Arabidopsis thaliana: one gene and its partner. The protein of the gene in region 2 purifies or fractionates together with the protein of the main gene of each other region. This does not show direct contact. Each region holds a gene or a part of one and is shown on either strand. Other genes may lie near its edges.

Evidence for each region.
Region 1: the proteins of PSB29 (region 2) and OEP80 fractionate together in Arabidopsis thaliana (co-fractionation; one study listed by BioGRID). This does not show direct contact.

Annotation. Positions count from the first base shown.
Region 1 is NC_003076.8:6,621,523-6,628,570, reverse strand, and holds OEP80 (outer envelope protein of 80 kDa), read right to left. Parts: upstream 5,375-7,048; 5' UTR 5,249-5,374; coding exon 4,541-5,248; intron 4,448-4,540; coding exon 4,354-4,447; intron 3,980-4,353; coding exon 3,897-3,979; intron 3,789-3,896; coding exon 3,691-3,788; intron 3,550-3,690; coding exon 3,480-3,549; intron 3,203-3,479; coding exon 3,109-3,202; intron 2,929-3,108; coding exon 2,847-2,928; intron 2,761-2,846; coding exon 2,725-2,760; intron 2,622-2,724; coding exon 2,468-2,621; intron 2,394-2,467; coding exon 2,253-2,393; intron 2,077-2,252; coding exon 2,006-2,076; intron 1,885-2,005; coding exon 1,806-1,884; intron 1,730-1,805; coding exon 1,614-1,729; intron 1,497-1,613; coding exon 1,349-1,496; intron 1,266-1,348; coding exon 1,196-1,265; intron 1,085-1,195; coding exon 930-1,084; 3' UTR 677-929; downstream 1-676. Other genes in the region: AT5G19630 (alpha/beta-Hydrolases superfamily protein), read left to right, coding at 102-424; GNL2 (GNOM-like 2), read left to right, coding at 6,526-7,011. UniProt on the Arabidopsis thaliana protein: Plays an essential role during early stages of plastid development.
Region 2 is NC_003071.7:8,985,420-8,989,933, reverse strand, and holds PSB29 (photosystem II reaction center PSB29 protein), read right to left. Parts: upstream 2,351-4,514; 5' UTR 2,152-2,350; coding exon 1,965-2,151; intron 1,854-1,964; coding exon 1,586-1,853; intron 1,495-1,585; coding exon 1,278-1,494; exon of another isoform or gene 1,110-1,277; coding exon 994-1,109; intron 864-993; coding exon 749-863; 3' UTR 523-748; downstream 1-522. Other genes in the region: DGK5 (diacylglycerol kinase 5), read left to right, coding at 1-116, 445-522; ERF53 (Integrase-type DNA-binding superfamily protein), read right to left, coding at 2,871-3,881. UniProt on the Arabidopsis thaliana protein: Involved in a dynamic process of vesicle-mediated thylakoid membrane biogenesis. Required for the normal organization of vesicles into mature thylakoid stacks and ultimately for leaf development.

The DNA of each region.
Region 1 (7,048 bases), on a different chromosome or scaffold from region 2:
ATTACTTTTCAAATGAATATTCTGAGACAAATTTGATATCTCATGCCAACTTCTTTATATTGGTTAAAGGAAAAATAATTGAAGTTTTGACTCTTTGGCAGGTGCACCAATCGCAGGATCAGCGGTGGAGCAAGTAGAGCAAGTGGTGGGATATGTGAGTTTGGGATACCCATTTGGCCTAATGGCCTCGATTCTCTTTGGGCGACACCACAAGGCCATTCTCTCATCCCCTAAACCCAAACTCTTCGTAATGGGAACACAAGACGGGTTCACTAGCGTTAGCCAGCTAAAGAAGAAGCTGAAATCTGCAGTCGGACGCACTGAAACACACCTCATTGAAGGCGTTAGTCATTTCCAGATGGAAGGACCTGAATATGATTCTCAGGTGACCGATATTATATGTAAATTTATTTCATCCCTGTAAAATACCACATGAAAAGATAGACCTTAGGGGATTATTACATCCTCGTCGAACTACGTTGGTGTATGTCCGGAAATTACTTGGATAAATCTTTACTAGCACGATAGGAGTTTGATGTCCCTGTACACTACGCACTAAAAGACTTGTTTTCATATGTTGAGTTATTATCACTCTATCGGACATTTCTTCAAGCTTTGCAATTGCATCGAGAAGAGTTTGCTCACGATCATGTGACATCCTAAGGAGACAAATCAGGTTCATACTAGGATGAAGAATAAAAATCCTAATCTTGGTTCTATTAATAATTTTAACTGGGAGTTTGGTAAAATGAAAATCATCTACATGAAAAGCATTCATACGCGACATCTCTCTCCATGCACAAACCACTCACAAAACAGTGAGTTACATAAGATGATATAAATTATCAAAATAGACAAGCATCATCTAGATGAATGTGCGACAAAGGCCGACAAAACACTTATCGAATCTAAAAAAGAAACAGGAAAATTTAGTTCCGCAGACCAACCCCAAAGTGAAACCTTCCCGCATGTTGATCGTTGAAGGCATATTCAAGGCGTAGCGGCCCCAACGGGGAATCAACACGCACCCCTAAACCATATCCATAACCGCTTCCGGGCTTCAGTCTTGCCCCCGCAGGATCACCTAAAGGGCAGAAAATAACAAAGATGAAGGTTCCCTGAGATTCTAAAGCTATTACAAGCATATATGGAAAGGCTCAGAAGGAGAAAAAAAAAACGAAAGCCTAGTCTGTACCTGGGACGGTGGATCCTGATCCCATATCAGTGCCATAATCTGTAAAAATGACGCCTTCGACCGGTCCTCTCTGCACAATAGGGTAAGAATGAGAGTCATGATTTTTACACCATTGTGAAATGAGATCTTAGGAATGTTCAAAGAAAAACCCACCACTGGGAAAGACAGCTCCCCTGAACCAACTACATATGACCGACCAGATCCTACAGCGCCCTCTTCGTAACCTCTTACGCTGTTTGTTCCACCGATGACGAATGCTTCATGAGGTGAAAATTTTCCCACCACATGTCCACCAGACAGACTATAAACATGAACAAGGTAAGATACACTATATAAAACTTTAGAAATGATGATTCGAATCCCAAAAGGTAAATAGAGACCTCAAGAAAATTATATGCCTCAAAGGAAGTTAGCATACCTAAAAAGGAAACGAGCTGGTCCAATGTGTATGCCTTTCCTGGCACGTCCAGTCACTCGATTGAAACATAACCATTCGGGCAAAACAGGAAGCCCTTGTTCCATGTTAAACGCAAACTGGTATAAAAATACAGATAGAATTAGGCACTGAAAAAAGAAGGGGAAGATGTACCAACAGAGGTATCAGACTGACCATCGTTGATCCTTGGTCACCTGAGCCAGTATAAATGCTTTCAAGTTTTGCTAGCATGGTCTCATCATGGGGCTTACCACTGCATGAGAAAACATTAATAATGGCATCTATCAAATTCATATGGCCAAATACAGCATTGGTGAAAACAGTGAGCAGAACCAAAGACAAATCATTCTTTGGGAATTGGGACATATATATACCTTGCAGTTAGAGGGCTACTGTAGAAGTCCTTAATGATAGGGTTTCCTTGTTCATCACGAGCACCAGCATGCTGAAACATGAAATTCAAAACGAAATTAAGGGTAACGTATATATTGGTCAAAAAGTAAAAAATTTACCAGTTTGGATCTAGTCAGAAACGACAAGAACATATATTTTAATTGCTTTAACACCAATATTACTCTGGATTGGTACAGAAACTTAGAAAATATTGGGAACAGTAGAGACCTGAAATATAAGTCCAGCAGTACCATTCCACTTTGGCCTGAATGGACGACTGTATTCAACACCTGCTGTAACCCGACCAATTGTGAGACTACTATTGTCTGGTTGATTGCCGTGAACAAGATTCCCCGGTGTTCTTGAATTCTAACTCAAGATGAAGTTCATTAGTTTATTAGTCATCTCAGCAATCTCATTGAGATAACCAGTAAAGGTGTTACCTGAACCATAATAGATCTGGACGTCCTCTTGTCATCTCCTTCAATCCATGGATCAGTGTAGTTTATACGAAATATAGAGTCAATTTGACCCCTCTCTAAGGAAACATTAAGCTTCTGGTTTCTTCCAAACAGATTGCGGTGGGAATAAGCGAAGCTGCATAAAATGATTACTTCAACTACATCAGTAATGTAATACACACAGCCTAGGCCAGAAATAAAAAAAAAATCATTACAAATAAAATATACATTACTTTTACCTTCCAATTAATCCTGATAGGGGGCCACTTGTGATCCTACAAAAGAATTGGACAAAAGTTGTCATCAAGCTACAAAAGAAAAAAATTGAATCGCTGTAAGTAGCAAACAAACTAAAACTTACCCACTAGATATCCCACCACCAGCAGAGAAGCCTCCACTGGGACGCTCGACACAGTTCATGATCAAATCAACCTTCCCACTATCTAACAGGAATAAAAAACAAGGAAAAGAAGAAAGTTTCAGAATCAGACACTGTCAAAACCTTTTGTTACTGTGCCTAAGGATAAGCAAGGAAAATACTTTCTTCACTCATACTACTGCACCTTAAGCACAAGATGAAAATTAAAAGTATTAGCTGAAAAGAAAGAAATATATTTACACACCTCCTGCAGGTTGAGGAATAATACTAACATCTTCCATGATTCCCATGGCTAGCACAGTGTCTACATCCCTCTTCCCTTGAAGCATGCTGTAGACCTAAATTGACCAAAAGCCAGATTAGACAAGATGTGTATGTAGAGGCCCTACTTAGACGCTCATGCATAAAGACTTTAAGGCCAAATTTTACGAAGAAACATACATGATACCATAAAGAGTGATTAACCTTAATTAAAAATAAGATCTCCAAAGGATTTCATACACAGATGATGCACTCAGAAGTGTTATTTAGCATAAAAATACAGCTCAGATAGTTTATGATGTTTTAGTCAGCGACTTATCTTTACATCTAAGCTGAGAAATGCCCAAAAAATACCTGTCCCTTCTTTGTTGTAAGTTGCCGTAGTATTGTCTCAGGGCTAGTCTTCCCTTTAGTTGGTTCCCCACTAAATATAGAAGGCACCATTATCAATGAAATCGTAATCTAATAGTTGAAATAAAAGGAAGCTACCAGTGCCATCCAGAATTGCCTACAATTTAAACCAATATAAACTACATTCATAAGGGAGGGATTGGCACCAGCTTACGTCTTACGATCAAGGAATCGGATGGATATGTTGTTAACCTCTGCTTCAGCAACCTGAAGCCTTACTATACCTCCAGAAAGCGTATCAATATCTGAAACCTACAATGGCAGACAACAGAATGATGATTCTAACCACAAAGTATAAGACTGAATCCAGGATGATTTTTTTTTTTGAAAAAGTAATTATGGTGTAAAAAGAGCACTTACAATTCCGAAAAGACCACGCTCCATGTACCATCCATTGATGGATGTAATAGCTTCTTCCAGTCTCTTAATATTAATCACTTTCCCTACACAGCTTGACACCAACATTTACTAACCATTACCCTCTCCAATCAAACACACACCGAACAGAAGGAATCCACCTAACTAGCCTCAATACATTAATATGTGTAAACTAAATGCAACTTCAAATTATGCTCTGTTTTGGAGCATGGATACATTTTGAGAATACTACCTACCTCTAATCTATCTTCTTCATTCAAGGCTAACACATTTTACACCATGTGTTAGAAAATTCTTAGCTTCATCATTAGTACTCGAAATATTTGTCAGGTTCCAATATCATTAATCCATTTTACTCCCAACGTAAATCAATGAATTGACAGATAAGTCTAGTACAGTACAGAAGAAAAAAAAACAAGCTAAATTGGAGGATACGTACCAAACCCATCTCGGAAAGCTTCATGTATGAACTTGGAAGGAAGAACATTTGCATTTTCACAGACTAACCCACGAAATTCTTGGTTTGGTTCTACCTTATGGCAAGAAAATGAGAATTATTTGCATCCCAGAAACATAAAAACGAGACCTTTCTCCTCCAACAAAAAGAGTAACAATCAAAATATTACCTGAAACATCAACCGAATCCCGTCTCGTGTATCAACAGCAACAGGAGTACAAGAGCAAAAGTACCCACTTTCTATAATCCTATGTACATCCTCCTGTACCTCACGAATAGTCAACGCTGAATTAGCTCTACAAGCTTTCAAAGCAGCCAATGCCTCCATTTCCAAATCCTTCCTCTCAAGTTCCTCACCATCTTTCGTTCTTACTAAAACCTCACTAATCAGAACTCGTTCCTCCGCATTTCGACTCACCGAGTGACCCTTCTGCTGCTGTACTGTATCCTTCCCTTCCACTGACTGAGTCGACTCGTTAGGTCTAGTTAGAGACAAAGAGGCACAACAGAGCAGAGGCGAGCTTAGTCCACGGATTGTCTCAACGTTCTCATCTCTTGATTCAGACCAATTGAATTGGGTGGATTGGATAAGAGACAATGAAATTGGAGAAGACTTCCCAATCATAAGCTGGGTTACTGAATTGAGCATCTGAGTCGGTAAATTGGGACGACGAACCGAACGTGGAGGAGGAGTGTGGCGATTCTTTAGCGACTGGAGCATTTGGTTTAGTGAGTTACGAGTATTTGAGAGGTGAGAGACGAAGGTTTTAGAGCAGGATTGGAGATTGGTGAGTAAAGAGTGTTGTTCTTTGGGAGATGGAGAATGGATTCTGATAGAAGATGAAGAGAAGCGAACATCATCGTTGTGACAATGCATTGTTAATCGTACTCGGGAGTGAAATTGAGGAAATGTCAAGGAAGAAGAAGAGCTTAAGAGATAAAATCTAAGAACAAAAAATAAGAGCTAGGGTTTTTTTTGATTCGGAGACTCGGAGTAGAAGATGATAGAGTGAAAAGGAGGTGATGTTAAAGCCCATTTACGAACAAACAAAAAACAAATTATTTTTTTGAATGTTTTATGTAAACATTCCTTTGAGTATATTATTAGGTTTTGTAAAATTACTGGATTTTCAAAAATGAAAATAAAATTGCGTCAAATAAATATTTTGGAAAATAATCAATTTCTCATTAAGGGGATTTCTCATTTATTTGACGGTAAATTAGTTTTTTGTAGGGTAAATTAGTTAACTAACGTTCAAAACATGTTAATCAAAATAAATAAATAGATTTTTGAGAAAAAAACGTTAGTTGATTTCTCCTATCCATTTTCTTGATTTTATTGATTAATAGATCACACACATGAACAAACAAGGATTATTGAATAGTTTTTCTGTGAATTTTTTTAGTAGTTATGGTCACAAACATGTAACAAAACCAATTATATTAATTTTGTCAATTTTAGACTTGTTAATTATAGAGAGTTTTGGCTCTTCTTAAGCAAGCCATAAACCCTTAAAACATTCATCTTATTAGGACCAGTACATAAATAAGTTATGGTCTGAATTTTAGTAAAATTTAAGCTGAGAGATATATTCTCTTGGAAACACTAGGACCAGTACATAAATAGAGTTATGGTCTGAATTTGGTAAAATTTAAGCTCCATTAACCTCTTAAGCGTCAGTTTTTCTCTACTGGTTAATTGAATAGTAGAGGAAAAAAACTTCAGCTATGCAAAGTCTGACTCAGATCAGTATGAAGAGGCCTAATCCTACAAAAATGGTTTCCACTCCAATCATCGTAGAGTTTGCTTCTACTTTAAAAGAAGAAGAAAAAAAAACCTTGAACACATACGTTTGATCCAAATAATGTATCCTTAAATCTGAATTTTTGCAGAACGTACATTAGTTTTCTATCTTAAGCCTTAAAGAAATTGACGGTAGCTGATGATGGAGTTTTCCTAGATGTGTGATGACAAATGGTTGAAACTCACCCATCACTGAGTCTCAGCCACTAAAACTTATATACTAAATATAGGATCAAACCAAGGCAAGGCAACACCGTACACATAAAGAATAAAAACGAAGAACAACAAAAAAAACAGTTGCTGAATGATTTTTCTTCTTTATCGGCAAGAAGAGTGTGATAAGGTGAGAAATGGATCGTATCGCCGTAAGAGCAAAGCGGAAAGAGCTAGGGATATCATGCATGCTTAACACGGAGGTTGGTGCAGTCCTTGCCGTCATTCGTAGACCCCTTTCAGAAAGTTACCTTTCTCCCCAAGAAACAGACCACTGTGATTCATCAGTCCAACAATCTCTCAAATCTCTTAGAGCTCTTATTTTCAATCCTCAACAAGATTGGCGCACCATAGATCCTTCGGTTTATCTTTCTCCTTTCCTCGAAGTTATTCAAAGCGATGAGATTCCGGCTAGCGCCACAGCTGTCGCTCTTTCCTCCATCTTAAAGATCCTTAAAATCGAGATCTTCGATGAGAAAACACCTGGTGCAAAAGATGCTATGAATTCTATTGTCTCCGGGATTACTAGTTGTCGTTTGGAGAAAACAGATTTGGTGTCTGAAGATGCTGTAATGATGAGGATTCTTCAAGTTTTAACCGGAATCATGAAACATCCATCCTCTGTACGTTCATTAACTATAATCTTTTTACTACAAATGT
Region 2 (4,514 bases):
CACCCCGCCATCAGGATGGTGCAGAAGATTATGATGATAATGAAGACGACTCAGTGGCTGAAGGCGAAGAATTTAGAAAGTTTGGTGCTGCGGATACCTTCAAGATTCCTGATGAGGTTGATATTTCTCAACTTAGTTAGACAATTAACCATTTTCATTGTTGATTCTATGCATTCTTCCTCCGGACTCCAATTTTTTTATTCACTCTTTCATAAAGGAGCCAACTAGCAGCAACTGGTTTAGATTGGTAACCATCTTTTTTCTTTGCTTTTGTTTGGTTGTTCACGTTTAATGGCCGAGATAATGTATCTGGATTTATAGCAACACAGATTCTCGTTTAACGCACATGTACTGCAGCAGTTAGCAGGACAGTGCAGAGACGCCAAATGCGAAACTTTCAGATGTTGCAACTCCTAAACATAGAATCTGACCTTTTTTTTATAGGGAGAACACAGTAATAAAAAAGGAAGGGCTTCAAGGAGGAGAAATTCAAATGTTCATGGTTGGTCACATGTGCTCTGAAGACAGTGCCTAAATCTTAAAGAAACTTGTCATATACTAGTAACAGCACAACAGTAACCTCATCAATGTATAAAATACTACATGAATCAACATTATGTAAACTCATGTAATTGAAAGGAAAAAAAGCAAACATATACACGTCTGAAATGTTCTTAGAAATGAGATATATATGTTCTTGGGCATAGTTGTTGCTAAGAAAACAAAAAAAGAAGTCACAAATGATTTTCTAAGATTTCCGTTCAACCAAGAAAGATGGGTTATATAGAGTATCTCCCAGACACTTGGAGATTGTTTCGTTAGCCTTCTGAGATTGGGCTCTTTCTCCTTGCTTCTTCTTCTCCCTGAGTAACCAAAAGTATAAAGATCCAAGTTAGGCTCTATATAGAAGTTTCATGGTGCAGCAAGCACCGTATATTCATTCAAAAATAGACCAGTGCCTAGTCTATTTAGATAGGGATTCAGTATCAGTACCTCTCGACATACTCCTTAAGCAATTCCTTGGCTTGGACAAGCTTTGAAAGCAGGTTACGATACACATCCAGGTCCCGATCCACGCTTTTCTTGTTGATATTTAGGGATGCACAAAGCTGTTTCATGAGACACAAAGATCAAAATTACCGTGAGATGTCAGAGAGAATACAGTTGCACATTGCCAGTGAACATAATGGATACAAAACTAGCAACATTTCTTCTTCCTCTAAACACAAGATTAAGCTGTTAATATAGATTAGCAAACCGAAGACGAATAGAATCACCTTGTCCAAGACAGTTGGATCAGTAGCACTTGCAAGCTCAAGCAAACGAAAGAGCCCAACAGCGAAGAACCTGCTGTAACTAAACCCCTCCTTACTACCAGCTCTTCCTGCAATGTCCTTAAGAACTGCTTCAATATCTCCTTCTTTAGAGGAAAAGTCAACTAGTGAAGCAGAAGTCTGACTTCGTGCCCATTCCTCCATCTTCTGAGCATCAATTCTGTACAAAAAAAGTTATCATCTTTAGAAAAAGACATTCAACAAGAAGACATTCATTATCAAGGAGAAGATGGAAGCAGGAAGAAGCAAACCGGTATTGCTTAGGATCCTCATTCAAGGCTTCAATGTAAGCCTTAAAAATGGCATCTCGGTCTTGATCACTCGGATATCCTTCCATGAGCTGATCATATACAGTGACAAATCCAAGGGCAAAAACAGGATCATAACGATAAGTCTTCTTATACCTCATCAAATGCTGCTGGACAATGAGCTCCTGCAAAACCGTGTTGTAGATACTCGGGATGGGTCGCTTGTAAGCTTTTAGGAATTTCGACTTTGTCTCTGATACAGGAGGCACATCTGACCAACAAAACCACAAGAGAGTGAATGCAGATAAAGTCAGAGCCTTTTTCAATACAAAACAAAGGAGAATGAATTGTGAAATGCAATGTGAAGTTCAAGAAGAGTCACCGGCGGTAACATTGGACATGCAGTGAATAAGAGATTTCGAAGTGGAACGCGAATTCAAAGAAAGGCGAGAAAACTTTGTGCAGATGCGAATTGCGGAGGCGAGAGGACGAGAAGATGCGAAATTGGAGATCTTGTCCGATTGACCCAAAGCTGGGAAGGAAAGAGAAGAGATTGCAGTTGCAGCCATCGCTAAATTGAAGTGAGAAAGAGAGGAGAAGAAGAGTTGTTGTTGTTGCTATGTTTAATCAGAAGAGTTCTCAAGTAATAGCCATTGGAAGGATGATGATGGCTCTGGTTGGATCTTCTGAGTTTCGACTTTCGAGTGGCTTATCCAACTCCACGAGATGTCGGTAGTGTGACACGTGTCCCTTGTCTGTCCACGTTAGGATTAGGCCCATTTACTTTGGATTTTGCTAGAGCTCGGTCCATCTAATAAAAGCCCATAAATAAATGCAGCATATATCACATGTACATAATGTTGCTCTCTGTTTCATTATCAATTGTACAAACTACAAAGTCCGTTTATTCATGCTCAAGATTCATCAGAATTCAACTCGTTAGTACATTGATCGTTTCCAAAAATGTCTTACGTCGAATTAGACATATGTACTTAAATCTTATTTAGGTTTTGATCTTCTTCTTTTTTTCAGTTAAAAGGGTTATTGATCACTTCTCACTCTCTTTCTATGGAATAAGATGAACTGATGAAGTACAAACACCAAATACTTAAGTTTTATATGTGAAAATGATTGACCCCATTAGATTCATAGTCACCGATCAAGAAAAAAATGATGGTCGAAAATAGAATCTAAAATGTGGAAGATGACAAAAACTGTCTCCACCCAAAAAAAAAACACAAGCTAGATCAGTCATACAACTAAGCATATCTATATTCTAACAAAGGTCCTAAATTGTATCAGAAGAAGAGTTTTGTGTGGCGTCAAGATCGTCCTTATGGTTAGAAATGGGAAAGTGGTAATCATCCCATAGAGGGCTTCCAGGTCCCCATTCCTCTGGAATTGCATTGAACCATGCCTCAGCCCAACCCGTCTCCTCACTCACCCCTCCTACTGCCAATGCCGTGCTCGAATCATCCTCTCCTCTTCTGCTTGAGTCTTCACTAGTAGTCCCCGTCTCACATTGTTTCTGATGCACGGGAGTTGGCTCTTGTTTATTGAGAAAAAGTTCAGGGAAATTGAGCCTAGCGGTCTCTCCCCTCAACTTGAAGGCCTCGCGGTCGTAGGCCATGGCGGCTTCTTCTGCTGTATCGAATGTCCCTAGCCAGAGACGTGTCCTGTTTCGTGGCTTACGGATCTCGGCAACCCATTTTCCCCAGTGGCGTTGCCTGACACCTCTATATAGCTTGGTGGCGCTGAAGGGTTGAACCGGTGGCCTCGTCAGTGGCAGATCGCTTTCTTGTCTTAACATGTTCATCATCATCATTCTTCCGCTCGGACTCAGCTTCAGAATGTCTCTCCAGTACTGCAATAGATGTTGTTGTTGTTGCTGCTGTTGTGCAACATATGGTTGCACCTGTTGTTGAGGATCAAACGAGATCATTTGTTGCTGTCTTTGTCCTGAAGGGTCATTCGGGTGTAAAAATCGTTGTTGATTTTGAATCGCTGGAGGGAGGTAAAAGGGAAAAGAGACAGAGCATGTAGTTGTTGTTGGCGGCTGAGGAGTAGCATAAGAAGATACGAGATAGGGATTATGTCGGTCAAAGGTTCTAGTCTTCCTAAGACTTCTTGGAGACGTAGAGGAAGCATCTCCTAACCACATGTCCGAGCCAGGACCCGAATCTTTATACTTGCCGCTACTAAACTGGAACTCCTCCTCCAACTCCATCTCATCCTTTTTCTCTGCTTCACTGGTACCAAGGACCCTGATTGATTTTCCCTTGTTCTTAGCAGTAGCCATAGAGAAGAGGAGTCAACGACGATGTCCTCTTTTGTCTTTGAGAAAACAGAGCAAGAGCGGGAGAAACAGAGAGATTTGTTGTGTGGTTATGAAATATTTTCCCCACTTTTATATCAGAACCGGTGGGGCTTAACTAAGATGTTGACATATATCACTAAGCAAAATATCTCAAGCCCTCTCAGGACCGTACTTGTGTTTCTTTTGGACGGTGGAACATTCTTTATTTTTCTACTTAATTATTACAAATACATTGTTGATAGTATGCACATCGTTGATAGTATGGTCGGCTAACCGCGGCTAAGGATGACATGCAATGAGAATGAGATTGAAGCAATTGATTGCGACGTAACGTGTATTTTAATTAGGCTTGTTATCATCATCTCTCGAAGGTTAGCGATTTGTCGTCAAAGTCAGCTTTGACTTTGTTTTTTTTTCTCTTATTTTTCTGTATACCCCACCTACAAAAGACATAAACAAAACCGACCAAACTTGAAACACACAAATTAAAAAAAGCTTATATGATAGTATAAGTTATATCTCATCCAACTTAACGTATCAACTAACTCAATAGAAAAAGAATGTACCCTACCCATGTCAGTATCACCATACATTCATAATATATATAACTTCTTT